Macaca mulatta: one gene and its partners. The protein of the gene in region 1 interacts with the protein of each later gene in a pairwise test. Links are inferred from orthologs where the notes say so. Each region holds a gene or a part of one and is shown in the gene's direction. Other genes may lie near its edges. The genes, in order: HNRNPC, KPNA3, KPNA4, KPNA2 and RBM41.

Region 1 (5,693 bases):
TTGGTTTTAAATAATTTGTGGAAAGTTGTGTATTTTTCTTTAGTTCCCCGATCCTTAATTTGATTCATGCCGTGTTCCACTGGCTAGTTTTATCATCATCACCATCCGATATTATTAAATGTCCTATATTTTAGGTTATATAAAAAGTAGCCTTGGAGTCATTGCAGTCTGTAAAAAAAATGGTATTGATACTTACGTATCTAAAGCATCCTGCAATTAATTGAAGTATCTGGAAATAGGCATTTCCAGTATAAATGAATTGATTCTGTTTATTGCCTTTTGAAGAAAATTATACTTAATGGGTAAGTGTAAGCTATCCATATTAATCTAGCTAATGAATGGCTTGGGACAGAAGTTGACATTTGCTATGCTGTGTGTATATATACAGAACCGGTAAAAATAAAAGCAGCGTGAATCAAGATTATTGATGGCAGGGAACAGTTAGCATGACCTGTAATGTGAAAAACAGCAGAAACTGGTGTCAGAGAATTTAGGCAGTTCTAATTTGCTTCAGTTATTAGAGGAGGGCCATTTGGAATTATGTCCAAGGAAATTTATATTGCCAATGACCTGCCAGGGAAAATTTTTTTTTCCTGGTAATTGAGAGTTTAGTGCCGCTGAAATAGAATGAAGAGGAAGAAGTTGAATTTCTAGAACATATTCAGAGGCTGGAGTCTCTGAATTTATTAGTAAATACATAATGCTGTGAGTCCCTTTAAGTTGCCTGATACTCTGGGCAGTTAACAGTGTTTCAGAGTGAGAGTGGAGAATGTTTTATCAAGGCATATTGTTTTTAGCATCTGTTCACCTGAATACTTTTTTTTGCTTTACAGTTTTCAGCTTTGTGAGAAACCTTATCATCAAACACAATGGCCAGCAACGTTACCAACAAGACAGATCCTCGCTCCATGAACTCCCGTGTGTTCATTGGGAATCTCAACACTCTTGTGGTCAAGAAATCTGATGTGGAGGCAATCTTTTCGAAGTATGGCAAAATTGTGGGCTGCTCTGTTCATAAGGGCTTTGCCTTCGTTCAATATGTTAATGAGAGAAATGCCCGGGCTGCTGTAGCAGGAGAGGATGGCAGAATGATTGCTGGCCAGGTTTTAGGTAAGGTCTCCATTAAGTTAATTTTTTCATTGATGATCAGGCCTGAGTTTTTCGATTCATATTTTTTTGTTTTTGTTTTTGTTGTTTTTTATGTCTGTAAAACTGACAGCCTGAGATATTCTGGATATTGTGCCTATTCAGTCTAATAAAAATACATTAGGCTTATAGTTATAATTGGCTAAGTAAAGGATATTCTTCATTGTACCATTTTGTGTAGTAGAGACAGGACAACTCTCATTTGGCAGTTGTGAGTAGGGCGACCTGGGAATGACACTTCACAGTGTTAAAATGTTGCCTAAATGGTTATATCCTCCCCACAGCAGACTGGTGGACCCCTCTAGTGTTGTTGACTGCTTGTCTCCTCATTGGGGTTTCGCTCCATTGTTGGGCCAGTTGCAGTTTGGCTCAGTCTTAGATTTTCTTGTCTTTTCAAATGTAATGACACCTCAGAGTACTACTTATGATTTGGTTTATTCAAGCCAGAATGCAGCGTCCACATGTTTATTTGATTAGTTGTACTAGATGTCTGTTTTAACTTCCCATTTTATGTGTACTTTGTGCCTCAGTTTCAAAATAATCATACCTGTGTTTTTACAAAATTAAGATGATTATTTTCAATTTTATATTTGTGGTTTTATTCTTTGTATACATTCTACTATGTCTGTTGACTCATAGCACGATAGGTTAGAGTTACATGAAACAATTCTCTGATAATGTTATGTAACCAACCAGATACACAATTTGGGTCTATTTCATTGTTTTTACATCTTACTGGATTGCATTTTCAGAAATTCTATCTTTAGTTTTAAAACACTATATGGTTTCAAAGTCAGAATTGTAAATGAGGTTAACATACCAAAACCTGAAGGTTATTCATGTAATGGTGTTCAGCAAATAGACAGTATATTCAATTTTTGTTGTTGTTGTTGTTTTTTTTTTTTTTTTTTTTTTGAGACAGTCTAGTTCTGTCGCCTAGGCTTGAGTGCAGTCTTGACTCATTGCAACCTCAGCCTCCCAGGTTGAAGCGATTGTCCTGTTTCAGCCTCCCGAGTAGCTGGTACTACAGGAGTGCACCACCACACCTGGCTAATTTTTGTATTTTTTGGTAGATACGAGGTTTAACCATGTTGGCCGGGCTGGTCTTCACCTCTTGACCTCAGGTGATTCTCCCGCCTCTGCCTCCCAAAGTGCTGGGATTACAGGCGTGAGCCCCTGTACCTGGCCTCAGGCGGTTTTCAGTTGTTCATTTGATGAGGTCCTTTTGTATAAAAAGGTAAGATATAAAGGATTAAGTTTTAAGATATGCACGTTTGGCGAGGTGCAGTGGCTGATGCCTGTAATCCCAGCATCTTGGGAGGCGTAGTTGCGCTGGTCATGAGGTCAGGAGATGGAGACCATCCTGGCTAACACCGGGAAAAGCCGTCTCTACTAAGAATACAAAAAATTAGCAGGCCGTGGTGGCGGGCGCCGGTAATCCAAGCCGTTGAGGCAGGAGAATTGTTTGAACCCGGGAGGCGTAGGTTACAGTGAGCCGTGATTGCACTCCAGCATGGGCAACAGGGCAAGACTCCGTCTAAAAATATATATATATATGGAATTTGTATATTTTGGGGCATGTGTGTATTAAAATGAGACTAATTTTAAAGCAGTATATATGAAAATGGAGGTATTGTTGACTGAGTGCTTTAGCACGACTGGGAAGTTAAAAAACTGAATTGGCTTTCTGACATGGGGTTTTTAGAACAAGGAGAAGATGAATTCTTGTTTGGAAGGTCATGGGTGGCAGGGTAGGTAGCTGGGCTTACGTGTTACAAATTGTATTTGAAAACTAGGGTTGTTTCCCTTTGCTCTTTTATTTTTTTGATATATGTAAAGGTTATTTAAGCAACTTATGAATTATTCAGAAAGCAGTTGTTAACCCCGGATGTTTTACATGCAGTACAGCTAATCCTTACTTATAAGGGAAATCTGAAGTTGCCTTTGAGGATGATTTGAGGGTGTCACACTGCACTATATTGTTTTGTGGATTGGCGTATATTTTAATATATTTGTAATAATTCGGAATGAACTGAACCATTCTTGGAAAGGTAACCATTGATAGTTTTCTCTTGTAATAGTAACTGAGTGAACAGTCAGTGCCTTGAATGGGGAGAGTTGAGTTAAAGTGGGATCTGAGGGTGGAGAGTACCAAAGACAGACTTAATGTTATGTCTCAGGAACACTTTAGTGGTACAGAACAGAGTGCAAATACATAGAAGATGAAGTCTTAGCCTTGTAAAAATTTATGAGCCTTTTTAATATTAAAAGGAGAGATGAAGCTCAGCATGGTAGCTCACACCTGTAATTCCAGCACTTTGGGAGGTCAAGGCAGATCACTTGACCCCAAGAGTTCGTCCCTATGAAAAACAGAAAAATTGGCCGGGCGCGGTGGCTCAAGCCTGTAATCCCAGCACTTTGGGAGGCTGAGATGGGCGGATCACAAGGTCAGGAGATCGAGACCATCCTGGCTAACCCGTTGAAACCCCGTCTCTACTAAAAAATACAAAAAACTAGCCGGGCGAGGTGGCGGGCGCCTGTAGTCCCAGCTACTCGGGAGGCTGAGGCAGGAGAATGGCGTGAACCTGAAAGGCGGAGCTTGCAGTGAGCTGAGATCCGGCTACTGCACTCCAGTTTGGGCGACAGAGCGAGACTCCATCTCAAAAAAAAAAAAAAAAAAAGAAAAAAACAGAAAAATTAGCCAGCGTTGGTGGTGCCTGCTACTTGGATGGGAGGATCACCCAAGCTTTGGAGGTCTAGGCTGTATTGAGCCATTATTGCATCACTGCACTCCAGCTTGTATGACAGTGAGACCCTCTCTTAAATAAAATAAAAAAAAAATAGGAAAGATGAGTTGTTTTGTTTCATATTTTCTAATTTTTATGTCTGTGATTTTCTAAACTTTGTACTAGCTGGGCATGGTGGTGCCCGCTTGTAGTCATAGTTACTCTTGAGGCTGAGGCAGGAGAATCCCTTGAACCGGGCAGTGGAGGTTTCCGTGAGCCTAGATGGCACCATTGCATTCCAGCCTGGGCGACAAAGCGAAACTATGTCTCAAAAATAAAAAAATTAACTTTGTAGTTTGTTTTACCTGGATACAAAGTTGTCACTAAAATTTTTGCTTTTGTTTTTCAGATATTAACCTGGCTGCAGAGCCAAAAGTGAACCGAGGAAAAGCAGGTGTGAAACGATCTGCAGCGGAGATGTACGGGTCAGTAACAGAACACCCTTCTCCGTCCCCTCTACTCAGGTCCGGAAACTTTATTATTTATAACTGCATTGTGTCCATCAGTGGGCATCTTCTCTATCTGTTTTCTGGATGTGGGGAGGGTTAAGTGTACTGTGTTTTATCTGTGTGTAAATAAGGTTTCATTATTTTTGTGTTAATATGTCTCTCTTTTGCCCTAGCGAAAATTACTAGAGAATTAAAAATCCCTGAGGTTTTTGCTATTGATGTTTAGGAGTAGTTTGATATTTATAGCATAGCCTGAAATACTTCTACAGGATCGTTGAGCTTCTAAGACACCAGAGAGTAAGAGAGGGAAGAAGTGTGGTATAAGAATGTTTAGTTTACCATTCTGTTTTTCAGTGTTCAGTTTAACTATGTCGTATGTGGAAATCTTAGTGAATTTTAACCTGAATTACCAATTTGACCACTACATTTCCAGTGGTCTAAGGTGATTGGAATTGAGTGATTTATTGTATGAATGATTGGGGATCATTCAGTGCTAATCTTGTTGATCTATCTGTTGTGGTTTATTTGGCATGGTTCTCCCCTCACCTGATGTTATGAATTAGTAGCAACGTTTCCAAATTAACCCTTTTCGGTATTTATTTTTCAGCTCCTCTTTTGACTTGGACTATGACTTTCAACGGGACTATTATGATAGGTATGTTAAAAGTGTTTTGCCTTTCTGCTAAACAGCTATTAATGAGAACCATTTTGTTTTTCTAGTTTGTGGTGATGAACATCAAAGATGTTTCCAAACATACTCCCTTTCCTCCAAAAGAAAAAAATAACCTTAAGTAGATTATTAGGTAGGGTGATAATGATTTTAATGCATTATTTCATAATGCCTGTTTCTACTAAAAATACAAAAGAATTCGCTGAGTGTGGTGACTAGGGACTGGGTTATGGGTGGCTTTGGGTAATAGATTTAGAACTGATGATAGCAAATACTAAACAAGAAATAGAATGATGTGCTTAAGAGTGTTACCACATTGACAATCTGATATCAGTCTCAGTTAACATGAAGTAAATGTTAGACTTATTTGGCTTGTCGTGTTTAAACTCATGCAGTATATGTAAGTATATGGAGCAAACTATTATATGCAATACACTTTAAAAATGCAATATATAAAGCGCATTACTTTATATGAAGCATAGTACTACTATTTGTCTTAGAATACCAGTATTCTAATCATTAGTATTTTAATGTTATTGCTGTATATAACAATTCTGTCTCTGATTTTGGAGTAAAAATTACTGATTGACAAATGCTTAATGTTTGAACTGAGTTAATCAGTCATGCATGGGAGTTGTGTAG
Region 2 (6,149 bases), on another chromosome or scaffold:
CCTTCTAAACTCATAGCTGGTGTGTGTGCGTGCGCGCGCGCGCGCGCGCGCGTTTCCCTTCAAATGAGTGGTTAGACTAAGATCAGGTGTTACAAACTGAGGACCTGATATTCTGAAGTGACTGAAATGCTTAAGTCTATTAACAAAATGTGAATTAACATTTAAAAATAAAGCGAAAAAGAATCTACCTTTTTGGTGTTCCTTGAAAAGTGGAATCTTCTGGCAACACTGGGCCACAGTCCAATATGACTAGAGTATCTGAAGCCTGTGTTTATCAAGAGGCCACACCCCCCACTCACAAAGACGAATGCCCCTGGACATAGCTTTGCCACCAAAGGCTTCTGAGGGCCTCAAGCTCTTTTTTTTTTTTTTTTTTTTTTTTTTTTTTTGAGACGGAGTCTCGCTGTGTCTCCCAGGCTGGAGTGCAGTGGCGTGATCTCGGCTCACTGCAAGCTTCGCCTCCCGGGTTCACGCCATTCTCCCGCCTCAGCCTCCCAAGTAGCTGAGACTACAGGCGCCCGCCACCACGCCCGGCTAGGTTTTTGTTTTTTTTTTTTTTTTTTGTATTTTTAGTAGAGACGGGGTTTCACCATGTTAGCCAGGATAGTCTCGATCTCCTGACCTCGTGATCCACCCGCCTCGGCCTCCCAAAGTGCTGGGATTACAGGCTTGAGCCACCGCGCACGGCCAGAGCCTCAAGCTCTTTAAGGCCCTTTTGGTTTAAAGATTGTCCTTTTTGATCCCGTCATGGTATATTCCTACCAACTTTTGACCTCAGTTCAATTAAATTATAAGTACTACAACATTACATACCTGCTCATGTCTACCATAGATTATGAAAATTAATTAACATACAAGCTAATGAAGCTCACCTGCTCCAGAAAGCAGCTTTTTTTGTTTGTTTTTGAGACAGAGTCTCCCTGTGTCGCCAGGCTGGAGTGCAGTGGCGCGATCTCGGCTCGCTGCAACCTCCGCCTCCCGGGTTCAAGCGATTCTCCTGCCTCAGCCTCCAGGCGCGCGCCACCACGCCCAGCTAATTTTTGTATATCTAGTAGGGAAGGGGTTTCACCATGTGGCCCATGGTTGGCCACACTGGTCTCGGTCTCTTGACCTTGTGATCCGCCCGCCTTGGCCTCCCAAAGTGCTGAGATTACAGGCGTGAGCCACCGCACCCGGCCGAAAGCAGTTCTTTATCAGTGCAATCCATCCAAATTTCCCTGTTTCATTCCTTCGATGCCCCCGGAGGGAGTGGGAGTGCTACACAGGAAAGTGTGCGACCCAGGGCTTGGCTGCTGCCTGAAGGCTAAGATTATGTGTGGTGGTAGAACAAGAAGTGTTGGGGGCATGGAAATACAGGGACTGCCAGAGTGAAGGTTGCAGAACCGGGGTTGGGAGGATGATGAGAAACTGGGCGACACTAAAGCGCCACTTCAACAAGTATTTATTGCGTATCTACGACGTGCTAGGCATTGTTTTGACACTAGAGATTCAGCAGTAATTCAACCAAAGTACCTGCTCTCATTGAGCTGAATTCCCGTGCGGGCAGCCAGGTAACGCACGTAAACACTCGTATCACGTAGATACACATGTACATGTCAGCTAGAAATAAATGCTATTTATAAAACTGAAGCAGAGCATGGACACAGCGAATGAAGGTGGCTGCTATTTGGGAAGACCTCCAAAAAAGCGAGACTGCGAAGCACCCGCGGTTGTTCTTTTTCTGATTTTCTACCTACCCGCAGCGAGGTGCGCTCCCAGAAAGCTCCGCCCTCTTCCTCCTGATAGGGCGCAAGGTGCCAGGGAAGCTCCCCTCTCTTCCCCGCCCAGAGGCCGCCTTGTGGGGGCGGAGCTTTGCGCCCAGCAATCTGAGCGCGGCGCGCAAAAAGCCGCGCGCGCAAGGGTCCCGGCATTCTCCTCGTTCGCACTAGGCGTGGAGAATTACCCCAGGCGGATCGTGGCATGCTGGGAACTGTAGTTGACGACCGCTCCCCCCACCCGCGCCTGAGGGGCGGTAAAAGCCGCCAGGTCCGGCTCCATTTCTGACACCAGACTTGCAGCACTCAGGGATTGTGGAGAGCCCTAGCAGGGAAAGAGGGCAGGGTCATCCCGAGAACCAACTGGCACGTCCAGCCCGGCGAACGCCCAAGCCGGTCGCCGCCCCCGGTCACGTGTCGCCAGCCTCCACGGGCGCGCGCCGCTCTCAGCACTGTTCCCGCCCCACCCGGCCCGGCAGTCTGCCCGCGCCTCCCCCGGCGCTACTGCCACCTCGCGCTCGGAGGCGTCACGGAACGTGCTCTCCTCTCACCCTCCCCCCTCCTGCTCTCCTCCTCCTCCCCCTCCCGCGCCGAGACTCGCCGCCGCCGCCGCAGCCGCAGGAGTAGCCGCCGCTGGAGCCGCGCGCAGCCATGGCCGAGAACCCCAGCTTGGAAAACCACCGCATCAAGAGCTTCAAGAACAAGGGCCGCGATGTGGAAGTGAGTGTGCTTCCGTGGTCTCGGCCCGCCTGGCCGCGCCGGGCCGGCGACGCGGGGAGGGGCGGGGGGCCGGCGCCGGGCTGGTTCTCGTCGGCTTGTGGTCGGCCGGAGTTGGCCGCCGCCTCCCGTCACCGCGGCCCCGGGTTGGGCGGAGCGGGCGGTGAGACGCGGGCCGGGCTGCAGTCACCCTCCGAAGCTGCCGGCGCGGCGACCGGGAAATGCCGGGGTTTTCGGCCCCGTCACGCGGGCGCGGCCTTGTGTCGGCGAGGAGGGGATGTGGAGCTGAGGCGGGGTCCTCGGGCCGGGGCCGCCCGAATGAACGGGGATGCTGCCGCCCCGGCCCGCCGACCGCACAGCCGAGGGGGCGGCCGCTGCTTGCGCCCGCCGCTGGTGCAACCTTCCGCCCGGTGCAGCCCCCTCTGCGCCTCCCGCGCGGCTGCACATGGAGCCTCGCCTCTGCCGGTCCCGGCTGCTACCTTCTGCTAGCCGGGCCCAGGCGGGCGGTGGCGGCCCGCAGAGGGGGGTGGGGACCAGCCGGGTAACTGACTTGTTTGAGGGTGATGGATGGGGGAGGGTAGGATGCGCCAGGACCATTTTCTTATATTCCAGTGCTCGTCTTTGGACTAGTCGTGCCGAGCTGTTCTAGCTCATACTCCTGCAACTGCTGGCATTTGGAGCGAGCTGAAGGTGGACAATAGTTTGCCATCTATTGTGTTCAGGCTTCGGAAAAGAGGTTGTTCTGACCTCCGTTTATAGGACTTGTTTTCTTAGCCTTTCTTGGAGTGGGGTGTGCATAGAGTGATACAATTTCTTTGACACGTTTTACTAAAATAAATTGGATACATAGGGTTCATACGTCCTCTTACGTACCTCTTGCTCCAAGCTAGTAGAATTTCCAAGTGGTTGCAAAACTAAACATTCATCGCGGTCACTCAGTTAGTTGCTACTCAGCATGTTGCCATTGTCTCATTAAGGTGACATTAGCAGGTACTATTTGCAAACTCGGCTTGTTGAGGCAGCGCTAGAGGTCTCTCTGCAGCTACTGAAAACAGTAAGTATAATGCACAAACTTCACTGGGACCGTGACCTTTGGATTTGTTAGGGGGAAAATAGTTTTAAGGCCACAGCCTTCTTTTCTAATACTAGCCGACATGATTTGCAGTTTTGTAATTTTTGGTAAGAAGCTGGTGTGATTAAGAGGTGTGTATTTTATCCTATCTTAAGGAAGGTTGTGGGGGTAAATACACCATTCAGCGTTCTATTTTGTAGAGAAACAGACAAACTCAGGCCGTTTTTCGAGCTACAAAATTAAATACTAGTAGGAAAAAACCTAGGGAGATATCCGTGGAATTCCCATTTAAATGAGTCAAAGATCATATATTCTTTCCTGGTCATGGTTAAATATCCTTTGTGAGAAATACATCTAAGCAAAAGTAAAACTTGGGAATAGACACAAGAAATTTTGGAACTGCCTCCTGTTATCGGTCCACTTGATGACAAGTGTTAATTTTGAACTTTTCCCATTAGGAATTTTTCTTGACGCCTACCCTGTTCCAAATAAAAATGTATTGAAAAATACTCATATTGTTGGTACAGAAGAACCAGTAACATTCTTCCTTCTCTTGGATATTGGTACAGGTTTTTGTTTCATTGTTTACCTCTATTATTGTGTTATGGTAGCTCAGTGATACTTAGTAAGGACTCCTGCACATAATAGGTACAAAACAAATATTTGCTGATGATAAGAATGTAACCAGTGACTTTTAGATGCATGAAAAAGAGCATGGTTGCTAAGCCATTCAGCCTGGTGTTGGTCACAACATTACATTTCTCGGGACTCTACAGGGTAACTAACACATGAAATAGACATTCAAATGGTAGTTCTAATGTGACAGACACCGCGTTAAGAGCTTCATGATACCTTATTTAATCTGTGTAACAAGTGTATGAGTTAGGTGTGGCATTATCCCCACTTTACATGAGGAAAGTATTTTTTGAGACGGAGTCTTGCTTCTTTACCCAGGTTGAAGCGCTCAGGCACTCCTAGCTCAGCTGCAAGCTCAAACTCCTAGGCTCAAGGAATCTTCCCACCATGGCCTCCCATGTAGCTGGGACTACAGGCAGACACCATCACACCTGGCTAATTTTTTAATCTTTTGTGGAGACGGGGGTCTAGCTTTATTGCCCAAGCTTGTCTTGAACTCCTGGGCTCCAGTGATTCTCCCACCTCAGCCTTCCAAAGTGTTGGAACTACAGATGCTAGCCATCACACCCAGCTGGAACTTTAGGTACAAAACCTCAGTGTGCTTATGTAGCCTGTGCATGTCACTCAGTGGATATGGGTATTATTTATTCACTGATTGTCTATGGGTATCTATCAATGTTAGGTCTTGGGGATAAGGAATAAGATGCAGTCTGTACCTCAAGGAGTTTACAGTCCAGTGGGGGTGATAATTACAATGCAGAACAACAATTGTTACAGTGTAGTATTCCGAAAATGCATGCCAAAAAACTACTTGGAGGTGAGCAGAAAGGGAAGATACTCTGGTTGATTTCTAATGAATGAATGGGAGTAAGCTGATTGTGAAGGATGAAAGAAAGGTGGCCAGGCAAAGAGCGGGAGAAGGCCGGTGGAAGAAAGGGGCATTCCAGACCAGAGGGAGCAGTAATTGAAGAGTCCTGAGAGAAATGTAGGAGAGAGAGAGACTGAAAGGTAAACTGGGGTCAAATCTGATGAAGGGCCTTTATTGGGGATTTAGGCATGTCTAAGAGTAGATAACCATGCTTAGTCTTGTCCATTAGAAACATAGTACAACTTAGCTCTGTAACTGAGTAGTTGTGGTTATCAGGCTGTTCTAAAACAGTGAGATGCACTTTGATAAGCTGTGATGCCTATTTTTTCACATACAGGATAGACAAAAGCTGAAACATGTTAGAAATTGTAGAACCAGCTGATACACAAGATGTTAGGTGCAAGAATAAGACACATACTTGTTAAAGAAAATAAAAGGATAGAGTTATGCCAGGGGATTGTGAGTAGAGACAGGGTTGAGGAAGAAAATTTCTTTATCATTCAATCAAGAGAGACTTTAAGAGATTTTTGGAGAGGAAAAAAAAAATGAGGTTAGTGAATCTTATAGGAAGTATGTACCAAACTTAAAAGGGGCGTGTTAACTGGTGAATAAATATCCAGGTAAAAAAGAAGAGTGATTATATTAAAGAGAGGAGACTTCCAGATGGCCTGTGTTGGTCCAAGAATATCTTGTGGCAAAGAGTTGCTTGGAAGCTTTTTTTTGATAGGGAGATCTGAAGGAATTTATTCCAGAGCAAAGAGGAGGTGTAACATGATTAGAGCAATGGAAAGGGTGACAGGGCAGTTAATACCTAGAATTCATTTTGGAGAAATAGTGCTGCTATCTGGTCTGCAAGGAAGAGTTTTCCAAAAAATTAAGACTGGGAATGGCTACAACCTGGAATGAGGATTTGATGATGCTGTTCTTCCTCCCTCTTCCTCCTCCTTCACATTCTTTTTGTAAAGATCACCGAAGAGAAAGGGGGTAAAGGTTATTCTGAGGTTTATAGATGGAGGAAGGGAAGGAGTAATTATTATCACTGATAGAAATTTGGAGCTTGGGTAGGGGAATGGATTTTGTAGCTAAAACTAGGAAGTACATA
Region 3 (6,394 bases), on another chromosome or scaffold:
TACTTAAAGGCATTTTTTCTGGTTTTCCTGACTCCTACTTTCGGGGCATACGTTCTTGCATTTGACAAATAGTTCCTGAGTACTTATGTGCCAAGTACTATTAGGTGCTGGGTATACAGTAGTGAACAAAACAACTATGCTTCTTAACTTCAGAGAGCTTACTGTCTAGGGAGGAAGACAGATTTTAGATAAACAAATAAAATCATAAATTGCGGTTATTTCCTATTTGTATTGCATCTTTCTGAGTTGGTAACTAATTGCAACCCTTTTTTAGGAGTCTTCTGCAGAGAGAAAACTCGGGTTGTTGTTTAATCATCAGAGACACTCAGTTGTAGCTGGAGACACGAAGACATGTAACGGACACTTCTATAAACTTCATCATGAAAGCTACCATGACATGTATTCCAAGAAGTAACAAAATGTTCATCTATTGATACGTTGACAAGGTAACTTTTATTCATAGGGTGGGAATTCGCTGGTAATTTGTTTTCTTGAACACTGCTTATGATAAAATCCATGATGGCACAAAATACACACATACTCCAGCTTTTCAAGTGAATTTTCTTATCCTAAACACATTTTGAAAAACATCAGTGCTCTGGTATGCAAATACAATGTTACTTCAATTAAATGACTCTTTGAGGAATAACATTTTATAATGAACATCATCATTTGTATTTAAGATCTGTTCTAAATTTATATTCAAGTTAACCTTCAGTGTGAGTTATTCCCAGGCACAGCTTCTGTTGTCCATAGCCCAGTTGATGGTCTATAAAGTATTGACGACTTTAAAGGTACTACTCTGCTTCCTAAGTTTTTACTTTCCTTTCCCCCACTACAATATCCTCTCCAAAGTGATTCCTAAAGTACTCCGGCTCTTTTCATTACCTCTCCCCCAAAGGAAACTCAGTTGTTCACATCTGTTAAACCCACTGACTTCTTCCATTTTAACTTAAAAAAAAATTCCCCTCTGTTGGCTTTAAAAGTGTTTCCCTAAGAAACATATGCATTTTAAACATTTATCTCTGCACGTTGTTCTGCTCAAAAAATACACTAGAAAGGACCGGGAGTCAACGATTCTGAAGGAGTTTGTATCAGGGTCTCTTCTCCCTGCCTAGCCAAGTTTAAACACACCCAACGCCTCGATTCCTTGCTTCCGACCAGAGTTGCTGCTTTACATATCCCTGGACATTTGAGATGTTATTCGTTGATATTTCAATATATTTTAAGATAATTTTCCATTTCTGTTTTGTGAAATTTTTGAATACGTTCTTTTGTATCTCGTGTCATTTCTGCCTCTGGTAATGTTGTTGTCCCTGGTATCCCTGGAATTCATTTCCTTTCTCAACAGACAATATTCCCTGTCAGCTGCCACGGGCTCCGCCCTCCAGAAGTTCATACTTTGTGGTCAAGCAGCTTCTTTAACTTTCTAAGACGAATTACCTAGGAAGTGCTATTGTCCAAGGATCACCAGCTCTGCCTAAATTCCTACCTGTTGCGGGCGCTTAGTCACAGAAGATAAATCAGATACGTCTACTGGGCCCTTTCCTTTTCCACCCAGCGTTCCTGTCGCTTTCCGCTGAGCCTCCTCAACTCACGTCATCCCTGCAGGTCCTGGCCCCCAGACTCGACCCTGGACGGCAGGGAGCCCCAGCCCGGGAACGGAGCTGCGAGCGTCCGACCTGGGAAAGAGCGAAGCTCAGATCTCTCTGCAAAGCGAACAGAGAGCGCAAGGAATGCCCAGGAAGACAGGGCGCGCCCGGGGAGAGAAGAACGTTACTTTAACGCAGTCTCGACCCTGGACCCCTGCATCTAGGGCTTCCCGGACGAGTGATGCAAAACAACTCGCCCTGCTGCGTTCCCCGGCCTCTCCTTCCCCTTGCTGGTTTCCCCTGAAGTGTACTTCTCTGTCGCTTCCTCCCCATCTCTCCGAAGGCACGTGGTCCTTCCCTGCCTACCCCAGCCGCACCCCTCCCGGCCCCGAGCCGGCTCCTCCCAGCGTCGTTCGCTTCCCCTTTCCGTTCGCTCTTTCCGCCCCGGCTCTCCATCGCCCCTTCCCATTGGTCGAACGCACCGGAGCCTGGTTGGCCAATGGGCGAGCTGGGCTGGAGGCGATGGGCGTGGCCGCAGCTCCGGGGCCCTCAGATCGAGGCTGCCTCCCCCTCTCAGCCGGCAGCACATTCCGCCGCCGTTGCCGCCGCCCGGCCCCACAGTTGTCTTTGCCGGAGCTGCAGTCGCGCTGGGGTTAGGGCGGGGGGGCGGGCGGGGAGAGGAGAAGGCCGCGGCGGAGGCAGGTGAGAGGAGGAAGGAAGCGGCGGCGCGGCGAGCACAGCAGCTCAGGCGGCGACCCGGTTCCTGGGAGTGTCGGTGCGGCGCGGTGGTTGGGGCGGATCCCGCGGGGCCCGGGCGGGGGAAGGAGTCACCGGCCCGGCCATGGCGGACAACGAGAAACTGGACAACCAACGGCTCAAGAATTTCAAGAACAAAGGCCGCGACTTGGAGGTAAACTGCTGGACGACGCCGGAGGGGTGGGGGCCGTGGGCCTGGGGCCGGTCTCCGCCGGGACCCCGAGTGTGGGGAGTAGGGGCGGGAGCCGCCTCCGGGCCTCGGGGAATGGCGCTGGGGGCCGGCCCGTCCGTGACGCCTCTGCTAGCGCGCCGGGAAGTTTATGTCGGGCCTGCTCCGCCTCCGCCGGGGAGCGAGGTGCCCGGGTACGGCCGGCGCGGCCTAGGCCTGCCCGGCAGAGCCGGCCCGGTGCGGGTGCGAGGGGTCGGGCCGCGCGGCGGGGAGGCCGGGCGCGGCGCGTGCGGAGGAGGCGTGCGTGTGCGGTCGGCGCTGCCCGGCCCGGGCCGCGGCCCTCCCTGGCAGCGGCGGAGATTCCGGCTCTCGCTCGGGCACCGACGTCTGGCGCTGCGGGAAGGAGGGCGGTGGGGGTGGGAGGGTGAGCGTGTGGCGACCGAGTGGGGCTCTGAACTTCCTCAGCGAGGCCTGAGGCGTCTCCACTTAAAGGCATTTTTTCTGGTCTTCCCGACTCCCGCTTTACCCCTGCCTCCCCCCAATATCCAAACTACAGGACAACTTCTCCGTTGAAAAAAACACCCCCGGCGTGAGAGGCCATCCTGGTGATGCTAACAGTGCCTTCCAGCGGCCTGTGTTTTACTCTGGATATAGCTGATTCAAGATGTGGCTCACGGTGTGCCCTCTTCCAGGCAAAGGATACCCCTTATTTCAGCTTGTCCACAAATCTCTTTACCCCCTCCTGAGAGGAGACCACCAGCTGCATTCTTACATATAAAGTCCAAAGGGTTATACAAAGCTGTCATCCTCTAGTCTACAGTATCCTTTCCCTCCACCTGCTGGTGGTGGTAGTGGGGGATGGGGTGGGCTAGGGAATGGCACCATCACGTTTGATTATTTAAAAAAGAAAAAAAAAAATCATTGTCTTAGATACAGCTGCTCCCCAGATTGTCTACATGGGGCGTATGGTTTAAATACATGCATTCACACACGCATACCCACACACCCCACTGAGATTTTTGATAGAAGACTTCTTCCCTTCAGCTTTAATAGTTTAGATAAATAGATTTATTTTAATACTTCCCTTCTGCATCTTAATCACGAGTTTAGCTTTTAGGGAAAGTGGTCAAGCAGTATTTTTTATGTTGTTCCTCGGTATGTTTTCGTAATGAAATCTTCAACTTCCCATGACATTTCTGAACTTGAGCGTTTGCTTGACTGAAATATTTTTTGGGCTTTTTACAAAGCTGTTAATATTATCTTTAAAGTAGTTTATGCGTTTTAGTGGGTTTCATAATTTGAGGGAGTACTAAGTGTCCAGGGCTGTTAATTCTGTGGTTCTTTTAAGGTTAACATATTACCGTTGTGATCCCTTTTTTAATACAAAGATGTCACATCTTTATTGAGATAATTCGCATGCTATAAAAATGAGCTGCTTAAATAACAATGATTTTTCAGTAAATTTACTTGTGGTGGTGAAAATGTTTTTTACTAATATGAATACTTAGAATGAGAAAAAAATCACAAATGATAAAACTTAAAAACTGATAATTACCACAAAATTACAGAATCCAGAAAAAGAGCAATTAGGTGCTTGACAGATCCCTGTAACCCTTTTTTCCTCTACATTTCTGGCTTCATTTTTCTAGCAGCTTCATTGAAATGTAATTCACATGGCATACAATTCACCCACTTAAAGTGGCTTTTAGTGTATTCGCAGTTTTGCAGCCATCACCACAATCAATCTTAGAACATTTTCACCACGCCAAAAAGAAACCTGTACTCATTAACAGTCACTCTCCAATTCCCAACTACCCCAGCCCCAGGCAACCAGTTTTTTGTCTTCTTAGATTTGCCTATCCTGGACATTCCATATAAATGGAATTGTACAATTTGTGCTCTTTTGTAACTGACTTCTTTCCCATAGTGTAATGTTTTCAAGGTTTATCCATGTCGTAACAAGAATGTATCAGTGTTTCATTTCTCCTTATGACCTAATGATCCTCCAGCTCATGGATATACCACATTTTATTTATCCGTTCATCAGTTAATGAACATTTTCATTGTTTCCACTTTTTTAGCTATTTTACATAATACTGCTAAGAACATGTTTGTGTGGACGTATGTTTTATTTCTCTTGGCTATATGCCTAGGAATAGAATTGCTAGATCATATGGAAACTGGCGTTCAACCTTTGGTGGAATTGTCAGACTTTCTGAAGTTATCCTTATTTTTTAAATTGATGTTTCCTCCTACCTCATATCTTTTAGCACTTTAGTCAAAATCAGATTAAGTGCTGAGGCTGTATTAGAAGAAGATTGTGATGTGTGACTTTAAAAAAACAAGTATACATTGACATTAACGAGGGTGTTTGTTTGTTTGTTTGTTTAGAAATTCATAGTGCCTTATGGTTGTCCTCTGGTGACTTTAATATCCTTTTGCATACATTAGGGGTAGGAATATTTTCACTTTTCCACCTAAGGAAATAACATATGACTCTAATGGAAAGTCATACTTTGTCCACACTGTGGCTTACTGAAAATCTCATATACTTGTAATGAGATAGAAACATTCTTTTTTATGTTTAGAAAACACTACGGTGGTCTATTTTGTGTATTTGTTACTTACATGTATGCTGCATCTCTCTAAACACTTATCACCCTTTAGATATGGTTACTACATTGCATTACATAATGTATGTAGAATACAGCAAATTCTAAGAAAATAATTGCTTTTTGACTGGGATCTTGTGATGGCATCTATTTCATGGGAAGTCTTTGGAAAGAATTATGGGCCAGTGCTGTCCAGTGAATTTAACTTAATCCAGTACATCCAGAACACCATTGCAACATCTAATTTGTGTAAAATAATTGAGAGGTTTCATATTATTCCTTTCATACGTTCAAAATCCAGTTTGTATTTTACAGTTATGGCATACCTCCAGTTGGACTAGCTGCATTTCAAGTGCTTGATAGCCACATGTGGCTAGTGGCTACCTTACTGGAACAGCCCATGTACGGAGTATAGCATTTAGGGAGAGGTAATTGTAGCATATTTTGATCTAACAGTTTATTTGATTAGAAATGATGAAGAGTACAAAGTCCTAGAGTTTAGTTTAATTTGATCTCTAACTTTGTGTATGACCTTGGGGGAAATCGCTTAGTCTTATGGTTCTTTCATCTGTAAAACTAGAGGTACTTGACATCTGCTTCATGAGTGTTGTGAAGATTAATAGGTAATGTTAGGAAGATGCCTGGCAATTCTCTGAGCGTTTTATCACCTTCAGCTTTTCTGTTTGGGGGGAGGGAAGGGATTTAATAGGATTCAGTATAATTGATTCTCTTACTCCCTTAGTTTCAGTGGCTCTTTTTTCTCTCTGCTTGTATAACTTGTTACATTGAACAAAATAGAAAAAGTTTTTAATACAGAGTCATGTAGTTGCTCATTGAAGGGCAGTTTAGACACACCACATTAGTGATCCTTTTAAAGTTTTAATTTCTGAGTGTTGGAGTTGAAAGTTCATAGATTTCAATCTGATATTTGTTCCTACCATTATGGCTCCTCTAAAATGTGGTCATGTTAAGTTTCTTGAAAGACAAAAAGCATCAAAGAAGGCATATGGGGTTGAGTACCCATTTAAAATAATTTTCAGGAACTATCAGATGATATCCACCATGGCATGGCTGCTTCTTACAGTGTGGTTGAAGATCCCCAGTCTTAGTTTGAGAATAGTAACCATAGAAAAGAGGGTATGCAGTGCAACACAGGAAATGGGTAGTGACCAAACTTGAAATAAAAAATTTGTCAGGATAAAGTAAATTAAGCTCATATAGTTTATGTTTTTTAAAGTAGAGGGGAATTTTCTGGTAGATTTCCT
Region 4 (6,372 bases), on another chromosome or scaffold:
TCCCAGGTTTAAGCGATTCTTGTACCTCAGCCTCCCGAGTAGCTGGGACCACACAGGTGTGTGCTACCACGCCTGCCTAATTTTTTGTATTTTTAGTAGAGACAGGGTTTTACCACATTGGACAGGCTAGTCTTTTGTATTTTTAGTAAAGACAGGGTTTTGCCACGTTGGATAGGCTAGTCTTTTTTTTCCGAAATGGAGTTTTGCTATTGTTGCCCAGGCTGGAGCGCAATGGCGCGATCTCGGCTCACTGCAACCTCTGCGTCCCAGGTTCAAGCGATTCTCCTGCCTCAGCCTCCCAAGTAGCTGGGGTTACAGGCAACCGCCACCACGCCCAGCTAATTTTTTGTATTTTTAGTAGAGACGAAGTTTCCCTATGTTGGCCAGGCTGGTCTCGAACTCCTGACCTCAGGTGATCTGCCCATCTCATCCTTCCAAAGTGCTAGGATTACAGGTGTGAGCCACCGTGCCCGACTATATCGTATCTTTCAAAGGCAATTTTGGGCATTATACTTCTGTTTCAGGTTGTTTTTAGGTGCAAGTACAGAATAGCGGTTCAGAATACAGATCCTGGAACCAGGATCTGTTATGGCTGAATCCTGTCTTTGCCATGTACTGGCTGTGTGACCCTGGACAAGTTACATAAACACTTGTGATTCAGTGCTCTCTTTTGTGAAATAGAGCAAATAACAGTACTACCTCACAGTTGTGAAGATCAAGTGTATTAATACATGGTAAACACTCAACACTTCTGGACACATAGTAGTCAGTATTTTCAAGCAAAAGAAACTCAACTTGGCTTGGTATGGTGGCTCAGGCCTGTAATCCCAGCACTTTGGGAGGCGAAGGTGGGTGGATTGCTTGAGCTCAGGAGTTCAAGACCAGCTTGGGCAAAATAGTGAAACCCTGTCTTTACAAAAAATACAAAAATTAGCTGGACGTGGTGGTATGTACCTGTAGTCCCAGCTATTTGGGAGGCTGAGGTGGGAGGATGGCTTCAGCTCAGGAGGCAGAGGTCGCAGTTAGCCAAGATCGTGCCACTCCACTCCAGCCTGGGTGACAGAGCCAGACCCTGTATCAAAGACAAGAAAAAAAAAGAAAAAAAAAAAAGAGAAGAAACTCAACTTGACAATACAAAAGAAATGTGTATCGGATCTCATAATTGCAAACCTTCAGAGATAGAGCGGGTCAGACCTCTCAAGGTTTCCCTACAGTTTTCTTATTCAGATTTCTAGGACTCACATCCCTCAGTTCAGAAGAACAGAGGCTGCTTTCCTACCTCCAACCAGTAAACAAAAGGCACGGGCTGTCCAACTGGATGAATTTAGGTCATGTGCCTGCCCCTGAACCATTCTCAGTAGCTGAGAGAATGCCTCACAGTGATTGGTTTAGGGGTGAATTCCTTCCACATTCTTGCATTTAGGGGGATGGGATTATGCTGATTAAGAGTAGGTGCAACCCTTTATGAACTCTGGCTGCTATACAATGAATGAGGCTGGCATTAATGACTGCAAGAATGGACAAATTTGGTGTTTGAATTTATTTATAGTAAGAAATAAACCATGACAACTTTTCTAAAATGTAATCTTTTAGAACACAAAAAAATTGCAGAAACAAAAATGGCCCATAATCCTGATGCTCTGTTGACCATCTTTGTTTTGTTTCTTCGTTTGAGCATATGGCAAAAAATGCAAAATTCAGAAATGTGTAACGAGCATAGAATGTTACTGGAACAATTGACAAAACTTGAACACAGACTACATACTAAACAACAGCATGAAATTTCAGTTTTTCTGAATTTGACGACTGCAGTGTGGTTATGTAAGAGAATGTCTTTTCTTAGGAGATACACCGTGAAACAGAGGAAAAAGGACATGATTCTGAAACTCTCAAATGTTTCAAAAAGTAACATATTGAAATCACACATAGGTACACATGTGCATAGGTATACATATATATGTATAGAGACAGCAGTAGCAAATGTGTTAACATTTGGCAAATCTGGATAAGGATTTGCAATTCTGCTGCATTTGAAATTATTTAAAAATACAAAACTTGAGTGTTTGGAGAAACAGGAATAAGAAATATTTTGTTACTATATTTGCGGCTTCTATACAGTCTTTTACGACGCAATTGAAAAAAAAAACTAAACTAAAAAATATAACATAAATCTTCCCTCCCATAGTGGCCAGAAACCCCTGCCAAGTTCTTCGGATATCGTAACAGGAAAAAAATGCAAAGCAATATGTCTTTCTATAAAGATTACTTATTTACTAATTATCATTTTTTAATTTTCATGAAGATCAACAACAAAGTTTTTTTAAAATAATGACTTTGAGAATCATTTTGCGGTATTTGTTTAAGGCTCTCGCCCAGGAAAACGCCCAGGGACCATGCGCGCTTCAACCCAGTGGAAACACGAAAGGCCCAGGGACCGCCCCTTCGCGTTGCTTGACGGGATCTGGAGTCCTCCCGCTCCGCCCTGCCAGGCGCTCGGGAACCGCCCGTCTGCTCCCTCATCTCGCGATGCCATCCTCCTTTTTTTTTTTTTTTCCCCCCTCCCACTCGCCCCTAAGCCCTATGACTCCCTCCCCTCTCAACGTGTTTTTCAAATCCACCAATGGGCACACAGCTTGGGCTCGAACCAGCCAATCGGAATGCGGAGTCACCGGGAAATTTAAATCGCGCCGGCCGGCTGCACGAGCCACACGGTCTTTGAGCTGAGTCGAGGTGGACCCTTTGAGCGCAGCCGTCCCACAGCCGCTGATTCCCCGCATCGCCTCCCGTGGAAGCCCGGGCCCGCTTCTCAGGTACAGACTCAGGCGGCGGCTCGGCCCGAGCGCTAACGGTTTGCCCGCGGGCGGCGTTCGCCTTTGGGTGGGGGGAAGGAGGCCCCGGGTCCACGCCGAGCCTGGCTCAGCCTCCCGCGTTGTCTAGGCCTCGGGGGCGACTGGTTCATTGACCAGGCGGCTGAGTTTCGCGGGGTCTGCGGGTTTAGGGCGCCGACGCTCTTCAAACGGCAGCGGAGACCATAACGCGTCGCGGCCGGGAGAATCGGAGCGAGCCAGGCCTGAGGGCGAATGTCCCGGGAGGGCTCGTGGCGGCCCTGGCCTCGCTTCCCCCTTTCTTGTTGCATCTTCCCCGACGTAGGGGCAGGGGCAGGGGCTGGGGGTGGCAGTTGGGAGCACTGTCTCTGACACTTTGGCCCCGGGGTGGCTGTGCCACCAAGTCGTAGGCGAGCGTAATGAAAGCAAAGATAGCAAATTGTAAGGAGGGCTTTGACTTTTGTCGTCTTCTGAATGACGCACAGCTGATGTCGTCCTAATTAAGTGCATTCGCTCCTAGTCTCTGGAAATGCAAATCAAATATGCGACATGCGGCACTGCATTTTTAATGTTGACCATAATGTAATGATGAAGCAAATTTTTTTTAGTTTTCGAATCTGCACCTATTTTGGCCAAGTAAAGACAGTAAAGTAGTGCGAGCCTCCTGAGAATCTGAATTTATTGCCCTGGCACATAATTTTTAGCTGTAAGTTAACTTGGTTCCCCTGCTTTGCCTTGGATTAACTATTAGGGACTCTGGAGTATCGAGCCAGGCTGTCAGAAACGGTGGACACACGTGGCTAGTCCAAATTGAAATACGCTGTAAGCTTAAAGTACACAAAAGACTTCAAAGATAGAGTATGGAAAAAGAATGTAAAAGATGTCAGTTATTTTATATATTGAAATATATATGTTGAAATACTATTTGGATATGTTGGGTTAAGTAAAATAAATTATTGAAATTAGTTTCACTTGTTTCTTTTCGCCTTTTAAAAAGTATGGCTACTAGGAAGTTTCAATTTATATAGCTTGCATTCTATTTCTGATGGACAGCCCTCTCCAGGAAGTCTCAGCGCTTCAGAGGGAAGGGGGACAGTTCCCGTTTGGGTAAAGCTATTTCATAGTGCTGAAAGCATGATGATCCCCCCTCTAGTATACAGGTGTGGATTCAGTAGATGCTTGATAATTCAATTCTTATTTGGTACTATTATTGACAAAGGAAAATGATAAAGGAAATATTTTTTCTCCTCGCCCATCTTTTAGCTTTCTCCCTTTGTCTCATAACCATGTCCACCAATGAGAATGCTAATACACCAGCTGCCCGTCTTCACAGATTCAAGAACAAGGGAAAAGACAGTACAGTGAGTACCTTCTGTTGCTTTCCTGTGGTGGTGTTTAAATGGGAGGACATTTGGAAAGGGGTGAAAACTTAGGGATCTTTTTAAAAATACCCTCACTTAGCAACAAAAACTGATGTGATAGGTGAAACGGCATGTTATCTTTTCTCAAGGAAATGAGGCGTCGCAGAATAGAGGTCAATGTGGAGCTGAGGAAAGCTAAGAAGGATGACCAGATGCTGAAGAGGAGAAACGTAAGCTCATTTCCTGATGATGCTACTTCTCCGCTGCAGGAAAACCGCAACAACCAGGTAAAAAATGTATTTTGGTTTATGAGTTACGTGAAATCCAGAAAATCAGTAGGAACTTTTCTTAGAAATTCAAGTAAACTTAACATTTTTAGCCTTAGGTTGTAACTATCTGTGAAGATCTTTTTCTCTGTTCCCAATTAGTAATTGTCTTCTTTCCTGCCTTCCATAATCCACTGAAGCTGATTTAGGATCTTCCTTTAGCTCTGACCTTCCTTCAGACTTCCCTGCATTTCTAGCTGCTAACTGGGTACCTTGACCTGACCACTGTGTCCAGAGCCAACCAGTTTCTGGTTTATTCTTTTTTTTTTTTTTTTCCCTAGACGGGGTCTTGCTTTGTTGCTCAGGCTGGAGTGCAGTGGCACAATCTTGGCTCACAGCAACCTCTGCCTCCTGGGTTCAAGCAATTCTCCTGCCACAGCCTCCTGAGTAGCTGGGATTACGGGCACGCACCACCATGCTTGACTAGTTTTTGTATTTTTGTTTTGTTTTGTTTTTTTGAGTTTCCCTCTGTCGCCCAGGCTGGAGTACAGTGGTGTGATCTCAGCTCACTGCAAGCTCTACCTCCCAGGTTCACGCCATTCTCTTGCCTCAGCCTCCCAAGTAGCTGGGACTACAGGCACCTACCACCCTGCCCAGCTAATTTTTTTCTATTTTTAGTAGAGACGGGGTTTCATCATGTTAGCCAGGAAGGTCTCTGATCTCCTGACCTCGTGATCCACCCGCCTCGGCCTCCCAAAGTGCTGGGATCACAGGTGTGAGCCACTGCCCGGTCTGTTTTTGTATTTTTAGTAGAGGCAGAATTTCACCATGTTGGCCATGCTAGTCTTGAACTCCTGACCTCGTGATATGCCTGCCTTGGCCTCCCAAAGTGCTGGGATTACAGGCGTGAGCCACCAGGCCCTGCCCGTTTTTGGTTTATTTCTGCCTTTTTTGGTATTCTCTCTTTTTTTGTATTTGTCACCAGCTTTGTTCAGGACTTTCCTTCTGAAATATTTACGGTAGCCTCCTAAGTTATCATTTCCTCCTTTCTGTGCCATATATTATTTTCCTGAAATTTTTCCTAAAGTACTGCCTTAGACATGTGTTTTCTCTCCTCAAAATCCATCCTCCAAATTGCTTGAACCTGGTAGGTGCAGGTTGCAGTGAGCCAAGATCGTCCCATTGCACTCCAGCCTGGGCAACAATCAAGGAAAAAAATAAAAATAAAAAAATTCATATTCCAGCTGGGCATGGTGGTTCATGCCTGTTCATGCCAACACTTTGGGAAGCTGAAATGGGAGGATCACTGGAGGCCAGGAGTTTGAGCCCAGCCTAGGCAACGTAGCAAGACCTTGTCTCTATAAAAAATAAAGTTAGCTGGGCATGGTGGCATTGGCCTTTAGTCCTAGGTATTCAGGGGGCTGAGACAGAAGGATCACTTGCCAGGATTTTGAGGTTGCAGCGAGCTATGATTGCACTACTGTACTCTGTGCTGGGTGACAGTGAGACACTATCTGTAAAAATAAAAATCCCTGCTCCATGAAGGCCTTCCATAAAGTAGACCTATCTTAGATTTTCAAATTTATCTTTCATCTGGGCACTTTCCTACATCTTTTTCTCACAATATGCGTCCTTTTTTTTTTTTTTTTCTTAAGATGAAGCCTTGCTTTGTTGCCCAGGCAGGAGTGCAAGGCACCATCTTGGCTCACCACAACATCCGCCTCCTGGGTTCAAGCGATACTCGTGCCTCAACCTCTGGAGTAGTTGGGATTACAGGCATGTGCTACCATGCCCAGCTAATTTTTGTTTTTTTCCAGTAGAGACGGGGTTTCGCAATGTTGGTCAGGCTGGTCTCGAACCCTGACCTCAGGTGATCTGCCTGCCTTGGCCTCCCAAAGTTCTGAGATTACAGGTGTGAGC
Region 5 (5,148 bases), on another chromosome or scaffold:
TCCTGACCTTGTTAGTTTGTGTGTGTTTTTTTTTTTTTAAGTGCCCATAGTTTTAGAGAGTTTTCTGGATGGAATGAAATTAAATGAATGTATTCAATCCACTATTTTTATGTGAAACTAATTGTAATCATAATGAAAGAATTGCCTTACGGCTGGGCATGGTGTCTCACGCCTGTAATCCCAGCACTTTGGGAGGCCAAGGCGTGTGGATCACCTGAGGTTGGGAGTTCGAGACTAGCCTGGACAACATGGTAAAACCCCATCTCAACTAAAAATACAAAAATTAGCCAGGTATGACTGTAATCACAGCTACTGGGGAGGTTGAGGCATGAGAATTGCTTGAACCCAAGAGACCAAGATTGCAGTGAGCCGAGATTGCGCCACTGCACTCCAACCTAGGTGACAGAGTGAGACTTTGTCTCAAAAAGAAAAAAAAAAAAAGAATTGCCTTACCTCCTTTTTATGATATTTTGGTTGATTCTCAATTTGTTTTAGGTGTTATACCTGAAGAACCTTAGCCCTCGGGTGACTGAAAGAGATCTTGTGTCATTGTTCGCTCGGTTCCAGGAGAAAAAAGGACCTCCAATTCAATTCCGAATGATGACTGGACGAATGAGGGGCCAGGCTTTTGTCACCTTTCCCAGTAAGTAGTTTCATCCAGATGATTACTCAGTTGCCCCTCAGTTCGCTAGAGACTACCTATAACCTCTCTAATTTAGATATAGTCCTTTGATTTCTCCACAGCATGTGAGAACAAGAGAAGGAACGAAAAATATGTTTTCAGTATTTCTTTCTCTTTCCTCTCCTCCATTGACAGTGCATGGCCACACTACCCCAGTGTCCTCAGGTTTTCCCAGTCTTGGTACTTCCTTCTTACCCTACCAAAATCTGTACTCCCTTTACTGACAACAGTATTTCTGGTCCAAGTTATAATTAGATTACTCATTAATTAGTGTATTAGTATTCTGATCAGAACACATGTACTTGCCTTATGCACTGTTCCTTTAGGACTAAGTGAGCACAAGCTAATATACTAATTTATTACTTATTCATAATTAGTAGATGATGATACAGTCTTCTAATTATTATTTGCATATTAATTAATGCATAGCTTCTAATCCAACGGGAAGAATAATATAAGAATTTCAGTTTCTGTGACAGACCAGATAATACGTTGTTTTGGGGGAAGGCTTTGTAGCCTTCATTGTACCTCTCATTGTCCCTAAAGTATCGTCATTTCTAAATAGCCTATTAATCTATATGTAGGCAAGTGGTTTTACACATGAGTACTGCCAAACTCCCCTCCATTGTTTTCATACAGTCTTGTGTCATCTTTCCTATCATACTGAAAGTTTCTAAATGCTCTGTAACTGTGGTTTTCAGTCTTTTCAAGTGTAAGAACCCCCTTTAAATTTAAAAACAAGTTTATGGGCGCCCCATATAATACGATGTATTAATTGAAAAAATACATAATAAAAAGGCTTTTAAAGCAAGTACTTTAAAATGTATAGCTGTTTTACTAATCTTGAAAGCTATACACTTAAAAAAATTTGTAGTACATATATATATGAAACAAAATTGGTCAGTCTACTTGTCTACTTATGATTCCACAAACTCCTGGCCATAAATCATCCCTTCCTTATTTCTTACATCCAGACTCTTAGACCCATAAGTTGAATACTCCTGGCATATGTATATATTCTCACATTTCAACCTTCCATATGCCTATAAGGGTTCTTATACTTATTTATCCCAATAAGGTGGCCCAGAACCACTCTCCCACTGAAAAAAAAAAATAGAAGTAGCAAAGTGCTCTCAATAACATAACTTTTTTTGCATTACTCATTTTGAAAATGATTGATTCTAATAATACCTATAATCTGTTACCTAAGGTAGAGGCTTATATATAATTACTAATAGCTTAGACTTCTTTAGCACACTACCTATATTTTTGTTTCTCTACTTATTTCTTTGAATTAGGAGACACCCTCAAACACCCATTTTGAGTTATTATTATTATTATTATTATTTTTAGTCACTAATTTAATTTTGCTGAATAATGCAAATGGGAGATTATAGAAAAAATGATAAAAATCAAATGACTATATGGCCTTATAGCTTACATTTAACTCCAAGGCAAAATAACCTAAACTAGACCTGGAATAGAATTGAATTGTTCAGTCCTATGTAAATTGAAATTTTTTCTTTCTCTTTTAGATAAGGAGATAGCATGGCAAGCATTGCATCTAGTAAATGGATATAAACTACGTGGGAAAATATTGGTGATAGAGTTTGGAAAGAACAAAAAGCAACGGTCAAATCTCCAAGCGACTTCTCTCATATCATGTGCTACAGGTAGCACTACAGAAATCAGTGGTAGCTAGAATATATATAGATTGTGGGTCCTGGATGGTCTTTCTTGAATTGGAATCTTGGATCTAGGATTTATGTATAGACACCAGTTTGTTTGGAGTTGAAGAGGAAAAACTAACTGAGGGAGGGGAAAAAAAGTAATTAGGACAACCCCTTTCAGCTTTTGGAGAGAACTGGTAGAAAACATTTTCTTTTATATAATTGAAGACTATATAGGACAGATGATATGCTGAATATGAAGGGTAGAGTGCAAAGAGTATTATTTTCTCAGGATAAATTAAAAAGGATTATTCCTAAGGATTTTTTAAAATCTTTATAATTTTTCTGGGGTCCTCAATATTTGTCTCTAGAGATAACATTCTTTCTTAGACTGCTTCCTATATACAGAAACAAAAAACTAATTAAATGTTGAAATATTTATTTACTAGAGGCCATTTGTCCATATTTCATCCACCTAGTAAATAAAAGAGCAGGACCCCAGGCCTAAGCATCAACAAATGCTATTAAGTCAGAACTATCAGCAGTAATAGTAGGTAGTTTCATAAGTCAGTGGACATATTTAATGAATGCTTCCTCCACAAGTTATCAGTCTTCAAAAAGCTATATATTTTTCTAGTGAAATATTTTAGATCAAAATGTTGTTGTTCTGATAGCCATTTAAGCTACCAACCATTGAGTAGCCATTGAATTCAAAGCAATAAACATTGATTAAGTGTCTAATATATGTTAAATATTAGGCATATGAATTTTAGAAGAGGAACATACTAGCAAAGAATACCAAAGGGAAATGGAAAGAAAGAGTTCTCTAGAAAAGAGGATGCCAGTCACAAATCCCCCAGTTGTTTGTTTATGGTTGCTGGAAAATAAAAAGACTATGCAGAGAGGAAGTAGTACAAATTGGAGTCAGACCTGTACAGCCACACTTAACATTGTGTGACCTTGGCAAGTCACTTAATCTGAGCCTCCCATTTTTCATCTATAAAGTAAGGATAATAATGCTACTTACCTCAATGGGTTGTGAAGATGAACTGAGATATTATCCAGGCTGAAGAACAGAAAGAAAAAAAATGAATAAAATTAAACAAGAGTATAGAACCCGTGTGACACCATTAAGCATTCCTACATATTTCTAATAGGAGTATAGGAAAAAAGGAAGAGAAAAAAAGGAGCAGAAAAATATTCTAAGAAATAATGGCTCTAAATACCCCCAATTTGATGAGAGACATTAACCTATACATCCCAGAAGAAAAAGAAATTACAAACAGATACATCATAAGAAAAATGCTAAAACCCAAAAACAAAAAGAAAATCTTGGCAGCAATACGAGAAAAATGAGCCATCACTTACCAAGGAACCCAAATAAAATTAACAGTTGACTTTCCCTCAGAAACAGTAGCAGTGGCAGTGGAATAACACATTCAAAGTGTTCAGAGAAAATAACTGTCAACCAATAATCCTATATACAATAAAACTGTTTTTCAAAAATGAAGGTGAAATAAAACATCTCTCATAATCAAAAACCAAGAGAATTTGTTGCTGGCAGACCTGACTTACTGGAAATACAAAAGGAAGTTCTTCAGGCTGAAAGCAAGTGAACTCAGACAGTAATCTGAATCTACACACATGCAGAAAAAGAGCACAGGCAAAAATAATTATGTAATTATCAGAAACAATCTATGCATTTTTCTTTTTTCTCTTAACTAATGTAAAAAACAATTGTATAAAACAATATGTATATAGTTGCATTGTTTGGCCTATAACATATAAAATATAATATATTTGCCAATAACAGGACGAAGAAGCTGAATGGAAGCAAAACTGTCTTGTACTAAAGAACTGACTCCAGATAGTAACACAAATCCACAGTAACAAATGGAGAGAATGTGAAATAGGAAATAAGAAGTTTAATATAAAAAAACTATAAACATATACTTATTCTTCTCTCAGCTTCTTTTAAAGATGTAAAATTAAGTAATTAAAATAATGTGTGTTGGGTTTATAATGTATAGAAATAACCTGTATAACAATAATACCACAAAGCAGGGGATGGGTTTATATAGGAATAGGGTTGTTACATTGGAATTAAGTTAGTATTTATCTGAAGCCTATTCAGTTTAGTTAAGATGTGTATGGTAAGCCCTAGAGCAACCACTAAGGAAATAACTTTTAAAAATCAAAAATATTATTAAAGAAATATAAATATCACATTATGAAATACTCAGTGCAAGAGAAGGAATGGAGAAGCAAAAAGCTTGAGGCATATCAAAAACAATAAAATGGCAGTCATGAATCTTCCTGTATCAAAATAACAATAAATGTGCATGGATTAAACAATACTATAAAAGGCAGAGATGTCAGAAACAAGTCTGATTCAACTTCATGCCATCTATTGGAGACACACTTTAGATTAGAAGATAGATTAAAAGTAAAAGGATGGAAAACAAATATATCACACAGACAACAGCCATAAGAAAGCTGGAGTGGCTATTCTAATCCCAGACAAAATAGACTTTTAAAAAAAATTACTGGAGATAGAGTAAAATGTTACAATGATAAAAGGGTCAATCCATCAAGAAGATGTAACAACTATAAATATATATGCACCTAACGGTACAGCCCAAAATACATGAAGCGAAAACTGAAAGGAAAGAAGAAATAGGTAAGTCCATAAAAAGAGTTGGAATATTCATTACCCCTTTTTCAATAATAGAGCACCTAGACAGAAGATAAACTAGGAAATAGAAGACTTGAACAACATTGTAAGGCAAATTGACC

Evidence for each region.
Region 2: the proteins of HNRNPC (region 1) and KPNA3 interact in binary tests that used the Homo sapiens proteins (3 or more experiments, as listed by UniProt). The link is inferred for Macaca mulatta from reciprocal best matches to the Homo sapiens genes HNRNPC and KPNA3.
Region 3: the proteins of HNRNPC (region 1) and KPNA4 interact in binary tests that used the Homo sapiens proteins (3 or more experiments, as listed by UniProt). The two-hybrid records come from large-scale screens. The link is inferred for Macaca mulatta from reciprocal best matches to the Homo sapiens genes HNRNPC and KPNA4.
Region 4: the proteins of HNRNPC (region 1) and KPNA2 interact in binary tests that used the Homo sapiens proteins (3 or more experiments, as listed by UniProt). The link is inferred for Macaca mulatta from reciprocal best matches to the Homo sapiens genes HNRNPC and KPNA2.
Region 5: the proteins of HNRNPC (region 1) and RBM41 interact in binary tests that used the Homo sapiens proteins (3 or more experiments, as listed by UniProt). The two-hybrid records come from large-scale screens. The link is inferred for Macaca mulatta from reciprocal best matches to the Homo sapiens genes HNRNPC and RBM41.

What each region holds. Positions count from the first base shown.
Region 1 is NC_133412.1:94,076,685-94,082,377, reverse strand, and holds part of HNRNPC (heterogeneous nuclear ribonucleoproteins C1/C2), read left to right. Parts: intron 1-797; exon of another isoform or gene 798-833; 5' UTR 834-869; coding exon 870-1,110; intron 1,111-4,281; coding exon 4,282-4,357; coding exon of another isoform or gene 4,358-4,396; intron 4,397-4,988; coding exon 4,989-5,036; intron 5,037-5,693. UniProt on the Homo sapiens protein: Binds pre-mRNA and nucleates the assembly of 40S hnRNP particles. Interacts with poly-U tracts in the 3'-UTR or 5'-UTR of mRNA and modulates the stability and the level of translation of bound mRNA molecules. Single HNRNPC tetramers bind 230-240 nucleotides.
Region 2 is NC_133422.1:29,023,321-29,029,469, reverse strand, and holds the start of KPNA3 (importin subunit alpha-4), read left to right. Parts: upstream 1-2,373; 5' UTR 2,374-2,405; coding exon 2,406-2,474; intron 2,475-6,149. UniProt on the Homo sapiens protein: Functions in nuclear protein import as an adapter protein for nuclear receptor KPNB1. Binds specifically and directly to substrates containing either a simple or bipartite NLS motif.
Region 3 is NC_133407.1:63,731,832-63,738,225, reverse strand, and holds the start of KPNA4 (importin subunit alpha-3), read left to right. Parts: upstream 1-2,143; 5' UTR 2,144-2,433; coding exon 2,434-2,502; intron 2,503-6,394. UniProt on the Homo sapiens protein: Functions in nuclear protein import as an adapter protein for nuclear receptor KPNB1. Binds specifically and directly to substrates containing either a simple or bipartite NLS motif.
Region 4 is NC_133421.1:77,784,928-77,791,299, forward strand, and holds the start of KPNA2 (importin subunit alpha-1), read left to right. Parts: upstream 1-2,706; 5' UTR 2,707-2,810; intron 2,811-4,088; 5' UTR 4,089-4,111; coding exon 4,112-4,186; intron 4,187-4,335; coding exon 4,336-4,473; intron 4,474-6,372.
Region 5 is NC_133426.1:113,862,861-113,868,008, reverse strand, and holds the end of RBM41 (RNA-binding protein 41), read left to right. Parts: intron 1-495; coding exon 496-643; intron 644-2,217; coding exon 2,218-2,384; 3' UTR 2,385-3,616; downstream 3,617-5,148. UniProt on the Homo sapiens protein: May bind RNA.